Linked DNA regions of Notamacropus eugenii. The protein of the gene in region 2 interacts with the protein of the main gene of each other region in a pairwise test. Links are inferred from orthologs where the notes say so. Each region holds a gene or a part of one and is shown on either strand. Other genes may lie near its edges.

The links. The genes of interacting proteins can lie anywhere in the genome.
Region 1: the proteins of MYOZ1 (region 2) and FLNC interact in a two-hybrid assay, tested with the Homo sapiens proteins (2 studies listed by BioGRID and IntAct). The link is inferred for Notamacropus eugenii from reciprocal best matches to the Homo sapiens genes MYOZ1 and FLNC.

Annotation. Positions count from the first base shown.
Region 1 is NC_092874.1:121,301,957-121,310,055, reverse strand, and holds the start of FLNC (filamin-C), read left to right. Parts: upstream 1-4,657; 5' UTR 4,658-5,028; coding exon 5,029-5,368; intron 5,369-8,099.
Region 2 is NC_092872.1:236,700,438-236,708,297, forward strand, and holds the start of MYOZ1 (myozenin-1), read left to right. Parts: upstream 1-4,573; 5' UTR 4,574-6,809; intron 6,810-7,314; exon of another isoform or gene 7,315-7,425; intron 7,426-7,860. Other genes in the region: SYNPO2L (synaptopodin 2-like protein), read left to right, coding at 417-2,587. UniProt on the Homo sapiens protein: Myozenins may serve as intracellular binding proteins involved in linking Z-disk proteins such as alpha-actinin, gamma-filamin, TCAP/telethonin, LDB3/ZASP and localizing calcineurin signaling to the sarcomere.

The sequences.
Region 1 (8,099 bases), on a different chromosome or scaffold from region 2:
TTGATCAATTGCTGTGTGCAAGAAAAGCCTGGAGTATCAATTTTGTCTATTTTGTTTTTCCCTTGCGGAGGGAGAGAAAATAAAGGGAGTTAGCAAGAACATCTGGAGATAGGAGGTTTTTCTAGTGTTAATGCAGCGTAGATAGTACCAAGACTAGATGAGGGCCACCTCAGCGTCCTGAGATCCTTTTCAATGTGGAAGCTTCCACTCTCCATGGTTATAGCTGCACACATTAGGGCGGGCACTCCTCTTTCTCCCGATCTGCCTTCCCCTTGAGACAGAGCTGTACTGGGTCTAACATAATCAGCTGGATTCTACTTGCTCTGGAACTGACCACTACTTACCCGATGCCATCCCCTTCTCTTCTGTCCCAGGGCAGAGGGGCACCTCCCTGTAATCTGACCTACCTCTAGCCACTATTTGGCTGGAGAACACTATGCATAATAAAAATCCCAGGAAGCTACATGTAGCCTGGGTACTACTTGAACCTGTAGCAAAGCTGATCTAAATGCTGAGCTGGAATCCAAGGTTAAGGCTGGCCACAGGTAAAGGGTCTGACTAGTGATCACCCTGTTTGGGCGCTGATGGGCTTTCATCTCACCCTTCAATGGACCACCCTTTTCTTGAACTAGAAGGGAGATAGCATTTCATTGCATGTTTCCTCAGACAACACCTTTCTTCAGAATCCAGGGTTCTTTTCTTTGGGAACATCTTTCCAAACCATGTAAAAGGCTCTGCCATATCTCCTCACTTGAGGATTGGATAGCTATCTGAAACCTTAGCATGGCTAACCCAGTGCTAAGTCCTGAGCCTTTTTCATTCTTTGTGATTGATGTGCTTATAAGTTACTCAGTTTGCTCTGGCACACCTCTAGGGAAAGGGGAATGAAGAGAGAAGGGCATCCTGCAATGTTGGTGGTTCAGTTGCTGTGGAGGGAGTGAGGAGCACAATGAAGGTAGAACTGAGGGAGCCACAAATTATTCACGTCTAAGGAAAAAGCCTTTGGGTTATGATTTAGGTAAGTGGAGTTTGGACCATAGATTGACAGGGGGGAGCAGGAAAGCCAGGAGGCATTCTGCAAGCGGATGAGCTCTATCAAGCCCCTTAGGGGAAAAATAGGAGCTGGAGCTGAGGTATGAGGAAAGCACAACTTGCCACAATATACCTAGTTGGATCTCAAAGACGTTGGAGTGAAGAGGAATAGGGCCAGAGCCCTAAACCGGCCTCAGAATGATCTCTGCCAGTCACATGCCTGATTTGTCTGAAATTACTATGGGGTATAGAGGGAGATATCCCTCAATTCTTAAAAAACAGGGTCCTTGGTACATGGGGACCCCAGTTCAGCTCAAATGGAAAAGAAGTATGATTTATGTAGGTGACTGGCAGGCTGCCCTGTAGGAGAAGTGGAGTCAGGAGCTAGATTGGGCAGCTTGGGTCTACAGGGACAGGTCAGCAGGTGGTGAGTCAGGGGGTTATAAGCAGCTTGTAGCCCCAAATACTTGGCTGATGAAACCCCCTGCAAACCTCTGAGGGGCCCCCACATGGCTCAGGGGAAAAGGACAGACTAATTCCTTTGCCAAGAGATGGATGGTGGGGAGAGAGAGGGAGAAGTGAAGGAATGGGGGGGGGGGACAATTTGGCAAGACCAAGATAAGCATTGTGCACGGTCTGTTCCAGCCCCATGTTGCTACCCGTCTCAGGGCAGCGGCTCATGGACTATATTGAGGGCTGAGTCACCATCCCTGCTGGGTCAAGCTGACTAGCGGGGCCCTGAGTCAGGACCCAATTTATCCTGGAGAGCAGCAGGCTCAGGTTGCACTGGGAGAAGGGGGAGGGCAATGGAGGGGTGACGGGAAACATCTCCTGGCTCTGTTCCCTCCTCTACCCCATTCACTCCCCTGTACACTAAGCCGTTTGGGGTTGAGGTAGTAAAGGGAAGGTCATCTCTTTGTGGGCCTATCCCCTTCCCTGGCACTGTTCTCGGATTCAAAGGGTCTCCCTTAGTTACCCATGATTGATTGGTATTTTCCCCAAGGGAGCCAGGAACCACTACTACCGTCCCACTAGTGCTAGTGGGTCACCATAGGGATGGTTAAATATTTTGAGTCCTAATGACATGAAATCCCTCAGTGTAAGCCTCAAACAACCCTACATCAACTTCAAAGATCATACACTTATAGCGGTCAGGGCCCTGAGAAGCCTCTCATTTTATAGATGAAAAAACTGAGACCCATATTGGTTAAGTGACTTGGTCACATACGCAGTAAGTATCAGAGGCAGGATTTGAACCCAGGTCCTCGGACTCAGGACAGTGCTCAGTGTGCCAGTGTACCAAGCTATCCTAGCAGCTAAAGTTTAGGAATCCAGAACCAGGGACTGTTCTTTCCCAGTTCCCCAACCTTCAAATTTCAGTTTTATGGCATGGGGCCCCATGGGTGTGATGGAATCAAATATCGTGTTCTCCATCTTTTTTTTTTTAAGGTTTTAAGAATACTCCTCCAGCTTCTTTCCCTCCTAACTCATTTTTGTCCAAGGGAGACAAATCTATACACACCCAGGATCTGGGGAGCTCTTTATGGGGCATCTTGGTTCCTGAAGCTCAAGTGATGGACAGTAGTGATTGCCATGAAATGGCTTTGTGGGTGGGATGTGAATAGCTTGGTGAAGAGGGAGACTGAGTGAGTGGGGAGTAGGGGAGGGAGGTGAGCTGCAACCAGGACAGTGGAATTCCTTAGTATCACGTCATAGCCAGCAGACAGAACATGAGCCCTGGAGCAGAGGGCTATTTATATTCCAACTTGTCACTATCAGGGCCCCCAGAGCTGCCCTCCCCCCACCCCACTTTACAACAGCCACTAGCCAGGGCTACCCCAATGTCTCTGTCCCTGATGATTTGTACTCCTTTTCCTACTTAAATTCTGAGAACAGTCTCTTGGGGGAGGGAAGCATATAACACGGCTATAACACCCCCCCCCAAAAAAATAACAGTACTTTCCCATCAATGTCCCTAATGAGAGCTGTGACCTTGGAGAAAGAGCCAGCTAAGTGCCCCATAGCCCCCCTCCTCACAGAACTTGGTGAGTCACTCACTACAATGGCCCCTAAAACATTCCAAAAGTCTCCTCAGCTCTACCATTTTGGAAGATGGCAACACTGACTGAGTCAGGGAGTTATCTGGTTTGAGGTCTTCCCATTTGCCTATCATGGAGAGGTTGGGGTGCAGCTAATTCCCTCCAGATCCCCTATTCTAACTATTCTAGAACTGTTAAGAAAGGAGGGGTAGCAAGGATGAATCCAAACCTAGATTGAGTCATGCCTGTTTCTCTCTGGGGCTCAAGGAAGACCATTACCTATTCTATTCCTCAGTTTCCCTAAATTTGTCAACCATTTGGGCCAACATCCATTCCTGGAAGAGCCATGGATTTCCCTAGTATTAGTCTCCCCCCATCCATCCTCCCCCCATCTCCCCTGAGAAGGGTCAGTCTGATTGCTTTCCTCTCTCCAGGGCTTCCCTCTACTTCCATCCTATCTCTACCAGCCTTCGCACAACCTCAGCTCACATTCCCCCTTGGCCTATGCCAACAGGGATCTCCCTGACTGGCTGGCCAGACAGTCCTCCTTTCTGGCCAAGGATGGGCACAATGAATGGGGGTGGGGGGGTTCCCTGCCACTGAGGGGAAGGTCTGTCCTGACTCTTGTCCCTGGAGATACCATCTGAGTCAAGGTCTGGGGTCTGGGGGGATGGGGAGCGGAGAGAGGTGACTCATGGCCCAGCATCAGAACTTTTTCCTCACCCATTTCTGAGGCTGATCCTAAGTGGGTTGATGACACTAAATGGGAAGGGGGGTGGTGGTGGAGTGCAGGGTAAGTACCCTAGCCCCAATCACCAAGGGGAAAACTCATTCTAGCCCAAAAGGAAGCCTCTGTACTTCAATCCCAGAATAATAGAGGAAGGCAGTTCTTAGGAAAACCTTCTCTTCACGGCCAGATAATGCCATTGCCTCTATTTCCATGTTATTATCCTGTTTCTTCCTCCCCTACCCAAATATTATACTCCTACCCCACAGGACTCTGACATAGATGATTCATAGTTGGACTTATACTTGTCCAGAGACCTCCAGCAATATTAGACTTCTGTTCCCAATTCCAACCCCCTCCATTAGACCTTAGTTTCCCCAATCTGTCTCTTAAGTCTTAGTCATGTCTGTTTCTCCTTCCCCCTCCCCCCCATCTAAGACTTCATCCCCACCTGTGACTCAGCTTAGATATGGGGGGGGGAGAAAGGGAGGGGAGCAGAAGGGGGGAGGAGAAGGCCCTATGGTACTCTCCATCTTCCTTATTCTCCCCCATCTCTGACCTTGGCGCAGGGGATTTGGGGAGCAGCGTCCTACTGACAAACCTTTGTTCCTCCGACTGGGAATGGGGGAATCAGATTGGTATGAGAGTAGGAGGAGGGACCTGGGGAAGACCCTCTCTGGTTCCCTGTCCCTCCAGATCCTCCAGGCTACTGAGGGGGTAGGCGGGGCCTTCTCCGGCCCCCCTCCCCGCCCCTGCCCTCACCCCCCGCCGGCCGGCATTCCTGGGAGGCCGGCGCTCTGACGTGAGCCTGGGGAGGGGGGCCCCCCCGCGACCCAGGGTCTTCTTAAACCCCCCGCCCTCGGTCCGGCCCTGCATTTCCAGAGCACCGCTCCGCCCCCCCAGACGGAGAGAGAGACCAGGCTCAGCAGACGAGGAAGAGGAGGAGAAGGAAGGGAGAGTCGGAGCCCAAGCCCGAGGCTGAGCACGGAGACGGACCCCCGAGCTCCAGACAGAGGCAGAAGTTAGCGAAGTGCGGGAAAGAGTCCGCAGCTCCCAGGACAGCTCCCCGGAGCCAGCCGCGGACTCTGCGCCTAGCCCAGCCCCGGGCTCCGGACCCCGTCCTCCCGACTCAGGCTCGCTGGTCTCAGCCCCTGCCCCGCCGAGCCGCCTTCGGCCCCGTCCTCCGGACTCAGGCTCGCTGGCCTTCGCCCGACCCCCGAGGCGATCGCGATGAACAACAGTAACTACCCCGAAGGCCTGGGCGAGGACGCGGAGGAGATGCCGTCCGCGGAGAAGGACCTGGCCGAGGACGCGCCGTGGAAGAAGATCCAGCAGAACACCTTCACCCGCTGGTGCAACGAGCACCTCAAGTGCGTGGGCAAGCGCCTGGGGGACCTGCAGCGGGACCTGAGCGACGGCCTGCGCCTCATCGCCCTGCTCGAGGTGCTCAGCCAGAAGCGCATGTACCGCAAGTTCCACCCGCGGCCCAACTTTCGCCAGATGAAACTCGAAAACGTGTCCGTGGCTCTCGAGTTTTTGGAGCGCGAGCACATCAAGCTCGTGTCTATCGGTCAGTGCCCGGGGAGGGGCTGGTCGGGACGGGACGGGACGGGAAGGGATGGGGAAAGAAGGGTCCTGGGCAGCCTGTGCCCAGGGGCAGAGCTTTTCCCCCAGCCAGACTTCGGGGCGGTGTCCACGCGCGGAAAGGGAGAGAGGGGGGACCTTGGGGCTTTCCATTGGCGGGTGGAAAGAGCTTGGGGGAGGAGCCTTCCGTGGTGGGCTTGAACCCGCTGGCCATTGGGAGAGGCCGTGGGGTTTGGGGTAGGGCGAAGTAGTCGGGGAGCCCTAGTAGGGAGCGGGGAGGAAGGAGGGTTCAGCTACTAGAGCAGAGAAAATCACTGGCTCTCCCCTACCCACACCAACCCAAAGGCGCAGCACTTTTTCCTTCAGACACACAGACACAGACACACAGACACAGACACACAGACACACACACAGACACAGACACACACAGACACACAGACACACAGACACACACACACACACACACACACACACACACACACACACACACACACACACACACACACACACACACCCTCTTAACTAGACGAGGAAGGGATACATCAACATGTGCCTCACCCCTTCCTCTGCCTTTCCCCCTCCCATTCCCGACACACCCCAACTTGGCTCCTGCACCTGCATCACCTTTTCTCTCTGTCTTCCCATGCCAGACCCTTGCTAACAGGTCCAACAGTTATGGGATCTTTTCAGTTTCCCCTTCTGGAAATTGTCACCTCAAAAGCACCTGTCCCTCTCTTCAGTTTTTTTGGGGGTCACTAAAACAGTAACTTTAAGTGTAGGGTTGAGAGGAGACCAGGAGGCAGGATATTAGCCATTCCCCACGCTGGCAGTGACGGGGATGGTGAGGTAGCTCCCAAGAGTTCCTTTTAAGTGAGGTGAGGTGTTGGGGGCTGGGGTAGCCTGGTGGTACTGAAGGAAGCAATGACATCTTCTCCCTCCTCTTGTCTCCCCATGCTAGGCATGTGCCTGGCAGCTGGGCCCAGCCCCTGGGGGCCTTTCCAGGGAGGGGGGAAGGGGGTAGGACCCAGCCTTTGAAACCTAAAAAGGCACTGAGGGAGCATAGGAAACATTAACCCCTGCTTGTCCTTACCCTTCCTCTACCTACCTAAGAAGGGTCTTCGTAGCAAATCCATTCTTCTTTCCTACCTCCCAAGCAAAGGGCAGGGAACAAGGGGGGAGTCCTCATATACAGAGAAGGGGGAGTATAAATGTTGAGTGTAACCAAAGCCTGAAGTTGTGTGTGAGGAGGGTTGAGGCAAAAGGAGCACAGCTGGAAGGGGGGGGGGGGGGGGAAGAGAACCAGTAACATCTGCCCGGAACTTGGAGGAACTCAGAAAGTAGAATTCCCTTCTCCTGGTTTCTATCAGGACAGGGCTGTGTGGGGGAAGGGAAAGGGGAGGGAGAGAGGAAGGAAAGGGCAGTGGCAGAACTAGGGAGCTGTGGATGTGATTTGAACAAGAGTACAGTTATGGAGGACTCTCATACCACAGGATCAGCTATTTAGAAAGGACACATGTTTCTATCAGCTAAAAATAAGGAGTCCCACCATAAGGGTGCCATCCAGAGTTCATGAAGCCTGAAGTGTTTATTATGTATATGGAGGCTAATAGTGTAGGATGGGGTCTCCACACCAGAGATAGGGGCAGCTGGGGGCCTGAAAGGGTGAATCCTTCTTAGTGGGAGGTAAGGAGAGACAGTCCCACTTAATCCTTCTGTCTATTGGGCCCCACATCCTCCCTTGAGCCACTACTAACACTGGGGCTGCCAGAATTAGCAGCTGAGATCAGCATGGGGCCCCTCGTCCTGTCCAGTCCCCTCCCTCGACTTCATGAGCTCCTTCCCCAATGACCGACGTCCCCCTACCCCACCCCCACCGCCTGCCCCAGACTGGAAATAGCCTGGCCTGGTTGTGACACAGCAAATGTCTCTGAGCTTTCCAGAAGGACAGGCCATGTTGGAGCAGGGGTGAGGGTGGGGGTGGAGGAGGAAGAGGGATGCCACTGAGGCAGGGAGTACAGGGAACAGACAGCTTCTGGGGGCTGGGGGATGCAGAGACCAGCCAAGTCTAGAACAAAGAGGGTTATGGAGGATGGAAGGGACCGTCTCAAACATATCGGATCCGGTGTAACCTAAGGAGTGGGATTAATTAAAGAAAGAACAGTGTGAAACCTCAGCGAGTAGTAGGTCGAAAGCAAATGATGGGGTTACGAGTATGTTCGCTGGCTAAGCAGAGCTTCTGAGTGGGAAGGGTCCTGTTCACCGCATCAGTCTGGAGATCCACATTATTCACAAAACTCCCAGCCTCATCCACCACCTCCAGCCCCTATCTGGGGGCCTCATCCTCCCTCATCCCATCTCTCTCCACATCTCCACAAAAAGTTTTCAGCTCAAACAACCTCACAGACTGAGCCTAACACTGGTAGAGAGGGCTCACAGAAGACTGGTATTAGAGGGAAAAGAAGTTGATTTGGGCAGTGGGGAGCAGAGAAGGATCAAGACAGAATTCTTGCTTCCTGTGGGGAAGGAGGAGAGCTGTTCACTGTCTGGGCCAAGTGGCTCTCACACATCTATGAGATAAGCTGTCAGCAATGCAGCTCCAGGGGTTAGGAGGGAGGGAGGGGAGAGAACCATTGACAATCAAGGGGTCTGCCCAGCTGTGAACAGATGTGAAGAGTTGACTTTCTGCCCTCTGGTGCTATTCTGCCAACTCTTGTTAG
Region 2 (7,860 bases):
AGGAATGTTGGGGGCAGGGAGGGAGCTAACTAGAGGAGCAGAGACAAAGGGACTGGGAAGAGGGCAAAGATCAACCATTGGTGGGAGGTTTGTCAGTTAGGCGAGCTAGATCTTGTCTTCACTCCAGTTGCCCTTGGTTTCACCTTCGGCCCCTAGCAGGACCCTACCTTAGCCCTTCTACACATGGATTGTGTGTGGCCTTTGGATATGGGACATAGGAAGAATATGAAAATGGGTTTTTCTTTAGGCAGGAGACACCAGATGGGCAACGTGGCTTGTAAGGCTGGAGGGCAGAGAGGAAAGAAAAGAGGAGGCTGACTGAGGCAGGAAAAACCCACGGGGCTCAGCAGTCTGCAGTGGGGAACAGGACTTCTTGGAGGGTCCACTGACCATTCTCATACCTTCGTTTCCTTCAGAACTCCAGCGCACAGAGAGTGTTCAAGAGAAGAACATAAAAGAGGCCAAGACCAAATGCCGGACAATCGCATCCCTGCTGACAGCTGCACCCAATCCTCACTCCAAGGGAGTGCTTATGTTTAAGAAGAGGAGGCAACGGGCCAAGAAGTACACCCTGGTCAGCTTTGGGGCTGCAGCAGGAGAGGGATCAGGGGCAGGAGGGGAGGAGGAGGAAGACGGCATCCCCCCGACCAGTGAGTCTGAGCTGGAGGAGGAGACCTTCTCAGATGCCCGAAGCCTCACTAACCAGCCAGACTGGGATAGCCCCTATCTGGACATGGAACTGGCCCGCTCAGGTTCAGGCACAGCAGAAGGGCCAGGACCAGGGCCAGGGGGTGGCCTCAGTGAAGCTTCAGGGAGAGGGGCACGGCTTTTTGAGCAGCAACGGCAGCGGGCAGCCTCTAGCTCCCTGGAACAACCTAATGACACCCCCCCAGCCCTGATGAATGGGAGGGGCCCTCCACCCCCACGGCCCCAGAGCACCCCCCCAGAGGTAGCCTTGTTACCCCCCAGTCCAATGCCACCCCCTGCTACCAGTCCCATTTCTTTAGCCCCTTTCCCAGCCACAGGCATTTTCAACCGTTCAGCAAGACCATTCACTCCAGGATTCCAAGGGCAGCGCCCAGTAACCACTTCCGTTGTTTTCCGTCCCCTTGCCCCAAAGAAGGCAAATGAAAGTCTCAGGAGTCCCAGTCCTGTTCTTCCCCCATTCTTGTCACCACCCCAAGGTCCCAGCCTTACCCCCAGCTTCTCCACCCCAAAGGATCCTGGTAACATACCACTCTCCATCTCCACCAATGCCTCATGTTCCTCAGGCCCAGTGACAGCTACCACCTCCTTATATATTCCTGCCCCAAATAGGTCCATTACACCTGGAGGTCCCCCTGACTCTCAGGCCTCTCACCCCACGGCTGCTATGACCTCCACTGCTTCCATCTTCCTGTCTTCTCCCCTGAGGCCAACTGGACTCCCCATGACATCCAATTCAAGTAATGCTGCCCCTGAGGCTCCCAGTACCCGGGAGCAGAGAATATCTGTGCCTGCTCCCCGCACAGGCATCCTGCAGGAGGCACGGCGCCGAGGAGGGCGTAAACAAATGTTCCGTGGGGGGAATGAAGAGAAAAAAAATTCACCCAACCCTGAGCTGCTGTCATTGGTACAGAACTTGGATGAGAAACCTAGGCCAGGAGGGACTGAGTCTGGTCCTGAAGAGGATGCCCTGAGTCTAGGGGCTGAAGCCTGCAACTTCATGCAGCCTACAGGTGGCCGAAGTTTCAAGACCCCACCCCCTGTGACACCTAAGACCCCACCTCCTGCGGCACCTAAGACCCCACCCCCTGTGGCACCCAAGCCTGCACCCCGGGGTCTTCCTGATGGTCTAGTGAATGGGACTGTTCCCTCCACAAGGGTCCTCCCTGAACCACCTAGACTACAGGGTCGAGGTGGAGAGCTATTTGCAAAGAGGCAGAGCCGGGTAGATAGGTATGTAGTGGAAACCACACCTGGTCCTGGTCCTGGTCGTAGTACAATCTTTAGCTCCCAACCCCGAAGCCCCTCTCCTACCCCTTCATTGCCTCCTTCATGGAAATACTCCCCCAATATCCGCGCCCCACCTCCCATTGCCTACAATCCACTGCTTTCTCCATTTTTCCCACTGGCTGCCAGAACCCTTCCCAGCCGAACGCAGCCTCAGGGACCCCGAACAACCACAAAGCCAGGCATCAAAGCCATCGACTTCATGAGGCACCAGCCATACCAACTCAAAGCTGCCATGTTCTGCTTTGATGAGATTCCTCCAACCCCTAGCCCTATTCCCCCAGGGTCTTCTAAGACCGCTCGAGTTCATGAGATACGTCGATTCTCTACCCCAGCTCCCCAACCCACTTCTGAGCCCTTGGCCCCAACTGTGCTCACTCCTAGAGCCGCCACTTCACTGGATGAGCCCATCTGGAGAGTAGAAATACCCCCAGCTCCAATTCATGCCCCTAGCCCAGCTCCAACTCTAGAGTCTCCTCGAGCTCTCGGGGCCTCCCCTGGTTCCTGCAACTTCCAGGTGGCCAGACCCCGGTTCTCAGCTGCCAGCTCTGGATTGCAGGCACACGTATGGAGACCTGGAGCAGGCCATCAGTGAATTGGGAACAGCCAAGGGAGCCAGAAAATGGAGTACCTAGCAAGGTCTCAGAGTTATTTCTGCCACCCCAAACCCTCTTTTCTAGATACCTGGAGAAAGTTCCCCTGCCAGGGCAGGCTTAGTCCTTCCTTTCCTGGTACTTTTTGTCTGTCCAGCTTTCTCTGCTCTATCTCTTGACTCTTTTTTGGTCTGTTTCTCAACTTGTGTGTCTTTGTTCCTCTCACTGCCTTTTTCTCCCTATTCATTCTGTTATTGTGCCCCTCTATTTTTGTTTCTCTCCTTTGATGCTTTGCTTTTCTCTGTTGGCCTGCATGTAGTAAGTTGACTGAACCCAAATGCAAAGAGAAGGCACTGCTCTTGTAGCCTTAGGCCTGGGTAACTGATGAGAGAAGGAACCTGCTGCCTGGCAGGTGTTCTAGGCCTCTCCTTTCTCCTCTTCTCCAAACCTGGCTCACACCTAGACACGTGTGCTTTGTGTTTACCAAAGGTAAGGAGGAATAGGGAGGTGAGTTCCAACCTGGGCTCTACCCACAGCTCTGCTAAGGTCATGTATAGAAAAAAAGCCTTTCTGTTAAAGAAAAGCTGAGAGATCATTCACTTATCTCTCAGGTGATCTGTATAGTACCCCACAAAACTGAGAGACACATTTTTTGGAAATGGGGGTATCTTAATGGAATTCCTGTTGAGATGATTTCTAATCCCTAAAACTTTTTCTAGTCTTCCTTAGATCTCAGTCAACCACTCTTGCTACTGGGGGGTAGGGTGGGTAAAGAGTTGGGTATGGGAGTAGAGAAACTGATGAACCAGGGCAACTTTGAGGATGATGAAAGGACAGACTTAAGTTTGTTTGGAATGAAGACAGATTCCTTAGGATGGGAGGAGGGTGGGAATCTCCAAAGGCCTATGCTAAGTTAACCTGAGTAGTGGGTTGTGAAGAATGGAAAACTTCCTTTAAGGAGGGATGAATCATTGGCTTCTCAGTCTCATGGATCTAAGTCATTAAGGGGCTACTGTCTTAGAACATGGCACTTGGAACAGAAAATGGGGGCAAAAGAGAAGCTGGAGTGACTAGGCCAGAGTGAGGCAAAGTGTGGGGGTGTGAGAATGGGTGTTGTCAGAATGAAAGTGGGTAAAGACAGACTGTGCAGGAGAGGGGTTGTATGACTGAACTTTAGGGACAGGAGTTGTTAGAGCAGAGTCAGGGAGGGATGACAGTAGAGTGTATATCAGTGAAGTACAATAATCATAATAGCTAACATTTGTATATCACTTACAATGTGTCAGGTGTGTCAGGCACTATGCTAAATGCTTTACAAATATCTCATTTGAGCCTCACAAGGACCCTGGAAGGGAGGTGCTATTATTATACCCATTTTAAAGATGAGAAAAATGAGGTGAATAGAAGTTAAGTGACTTGTCCCAGGTCATACAGCTAGTAAGTGTCTGAGCTGAATTGGAACTCGAGTCATCCTGACTCCAGGTGTAGCATTCTATCCATTGTATCACCTAGCTGCCTCCAATAAGTGGGGAGAAGGCCCTCAGAGCCCGTGCTGCTTCCTTTGTGTCTGTCCTTCAGTCTGTATCCCTCCTTCTGGCACTATGAGCACCCAGGTGGGGGCAGGAAAATATCTAGAACCACAGTCTCCTAGCCCTTCCTATTCCCATAGAATTTAGGTCCCCATTTCCCTGCTTTGGGCTTTAGACCCTGATTGCTGAGCCAGGAGTGGGGGTGAGGGGTTAAGAGCAAGGGGAGCAGAATATGGGATGCACTCCTCCCCCAATCACTTCTGCTGCTTGGTTTTTAAGTTGTTTCCCTTATGTCTCAGGTGTGAGTCACTCTACTTTGATTTGTGCACAGTAATAAACCTGTATCCTACATCTTATTAGTTACCTCGCCTCTCAATCATGCCTTTGTCCTCAGTTTCTACACAACATCCTCTTCTCTGCTTGTTCTGCGGCTCCCCTTGGCTCCTGTTCATTCTCTGCTTTCCCCATCCATCCACCTCCTCTTCCCTATTCTCCCCCATGTCCCTCTTCTTATTCATTCTGCTTGGACCTTTTTTTGCTTTTCTCCATCATCTCCCAGTAACACACGTATACATATATACATACATGCAAACATATTTATCTACATACACATACATTTTCTCCATTTCTCTCAAGTGCTCCACAGCAGAGAATCTGCTCTTTAGGTAGAACTGAGAGATCTTTGAGACGACAGGTCCTGTTTGTTGTCCCTATACTTGTTTGTCACTGAGAATCTTGGGATGGGGCCAGTGATAGTGAAGAAAGCCCAAGACTGGCCATAAAGAAAAAAATCACCACTTTTGTAGGGGAGGGGGGACAGACGGTTTTTAGGAAGGGAGAGTGTCACATTTCCTATCCTGTCAGTAGAGGGCATGCTTGTGCCACCAATCGGCCCAAGACTCCATGAAAGCCCCACAGGAATCGTAAAAATTCCCATAGAAACCTAAGGTTTAGGCAGGAGAGCATATGGGTGCTCCCATCTCACCAGGTGGTTCTAATCAATCACAGAAACCAGTATTTACTGATTTTTTTAAAACTTATTTTGAATCAGAGTAAGTGGGCAGGAATGAGGACAGAAGGTAAATAACAAGTAGTAGGGACCCAGGCCAATTTGGGTAGCACCCCAAAAATGCAGACCTCAGGGTGGTGGGAGGTGTTCTGGGATTTAGGGAACCATTCCCTAAAGTAGCTAAAGCTCAGTGAGGAAAGGGTCAGGGACACGAACAAAAGGAGTGTTGAGAGATAGATCCCAGATCCACATGTAATAAGTGCTGGGGCAGGTATAGGTGAAGTTCAGGGTTTGAGGAGGATACAAATAGAATTCTCTTAAAGGGGTTCTTAAAATCAGATCATTAGCTGGATCAGGGTGATAGTAACAATAACAATATGGACATCTGTCTTAAGATTGAAAAGTCTTGGCAGGCAGGGCTTCTGGGCAGTGTGGCTCCCAGGGTTGGTGAATCACTTGAACTCAGGAATTCTGAATGGTAGTGGGGCTAAAGTGCCCAAGCTAAACTGGACCCAGGATGGTGAGCTCCCCTGAGCCACTAGGGCTGAACCCACCCAGGTCAGAACTTGAAATCAAAGTTTCCAGCCTGGTCTGCAGTGGGGTCAGCTCACCACAGGCTGTGGCACTTCTACCCTGGGTGAGATAAAGAGTCCCAGGCAAAAAAAAAAAAAAGAAGAATGGAAGTTCGGTGAAAGAACCTGAAAGCTGGGGAGACCCAAAGAAAGCTGGCAGGGCTGGAGAACCTGAAGGTATTTCATGGACTTTGTCATCCAAAACTTTTGAGCTCGAGACTCAGGACTCACAAAAACAAACATTGGCTTACAAGAGCTGGAGGCCAAGAATCCACCTGCCCTCTCTTGAAAAAGCTACTGGAAACTCTGGAGCAGAGGTTAGACAGGAGAAAGAAAGAAGGTACAGGTTGTAAAAGAAGAGGGTGGAAGGAGCTGGACCCCACAAGCCCTGGTGGCCTGTCTGAGGTTCATTCAGGGGACCCCTGGGACAGAAGAATCTACTTAAAGGTGAGGCCTGTTCCTCCCTTGCCAACCAGAAGTACTTTCTGGGTGTTCAGAACATCAGATTTCAGTCACAATGAAATCCCCTTTCTTTTTCTCACTGACCTTTCCAGGTTCCCTCTGCACACCTCACCCCTCTCCTCCACTTCCCCTCAGCTCCCCGATGGAGCCACTGATGTCTTCCCTATCTTCTTCTCCATAATAAGACTTAAATATCTCTTCTCTCCCTTCCCCTTCACTTCACCCCTAGGGGCTTCTTTGTCCTGGATGCTTTTTAGGTCTTTGTCTGCGATAATAGGGGAGAGGGAGATGCACAAATGGGGCTCAGATCCATCATGAATATAGCTCAGGCAGCTCAGTTGCTTGAGTCCGAGTGTCCTCTCTGCTCCTGGAGGGCGGGGTCTTAGGCCAGGGTCTCAGTATTCCCCAATGCCATCTGAGCTGCTCTCACTCATCATCTCTATTAATAACCCCCCCCCCCCCTCCACCACTCCCACACCGGCCCAGCTCAGGTTCTCAGGTCAGAGCTGCTCAGCTCTCCACAGCAACTGGACCCCTGGGGGAGACTCTAAGCATACCGGCTCCAACCACAAACTCCCAACCTGTTCAGCCTGAAGGTCTGAAGCTCCCATTCGAACTGGTCCTGTGTCTGTGTCTGCAGCTGTGACCCTTGGTGAGTGCCCCCTCACCCTCTTGGCTCAGCTGTCCTGTGGTGGAGGAGGGCATGGGTGGAGAATGTATAAAGTAAGGATCATCAAGAAGATTGGAAGACTAGCCAGGGAGTTTAGGGAGCAGGGAATGAAGGATGCAGGCTGGACAGCTTTGGGGAGGGGGTTGGCTAGGCCAAAGAGATGGGGGAAGGGCACTGGAAAAAAGGGAAAGGGGCTCAGGAAGTCTGGAACTAAGTGGAAATGAGGAACTAGGAGAGGGGGTTCAAGGAGGTGAGGATGAGTTCATCAAAAGGCTTTAACTTTAACCTGACTAGGTGGCTAGCCCTTGCAATTATATAAAAGCTGTAGCTGGGGTGGAGTTGGGGGTGGGGGGAATGGACTGAGCAGAAGCAGAAAGATTGTGCTGAATTGCCATTTCTGTCTGGGAGGGACTGGGGCCTGTGCCCAGAGTAGAGCTGGAGGCAGATGTTCCTTCCAACTCATCTCCCACTCTACTCCCAGATCCAATTACAGTGACTTCTACACAGAGCCAAGCTCCTCATTTAGTTTTCTGCTCCTTTGAGATTACTGAACTACTGAGAGTTAGGGATCCCTTGAGGGGAGACCCCTAGTGTGAGGGTAAGGGGAGCTGGAGTGTTGGGAGAAGGGAGTTATATTGTCTCTTAAGGCCAAAGGACAACCAGCAGAGAGAATTGACAATTCCTTCTCTCCATAGGAAATATTTTTGGCAGGCAGAAACCTCTTTGCCTTGGCAGAATGGGCCTCAGATTCCAGCCCTCTCAGGCACTTTCTTGACCCTTTAGAGTGACCTATCATTAGCTCTAGTCCTAACTCAGAATTTGGAATCACACCAAGGCAATGGAGTCTGTCTAATGTCATGACTTTTTCATATTTTCCTATGCCAGCTGGGGTTACCCCTGGAACTCTGGGTCGGGTGGGTGGGAAGTGGGGGAAGAAACAAGGTATAGAGTACCTACATAATGAGAAAAGAAAAAGAAAGAAGCTTTTTTAAATGAGGATAGAGATGGTTATAAGGGCTTACTCTTATCTGTC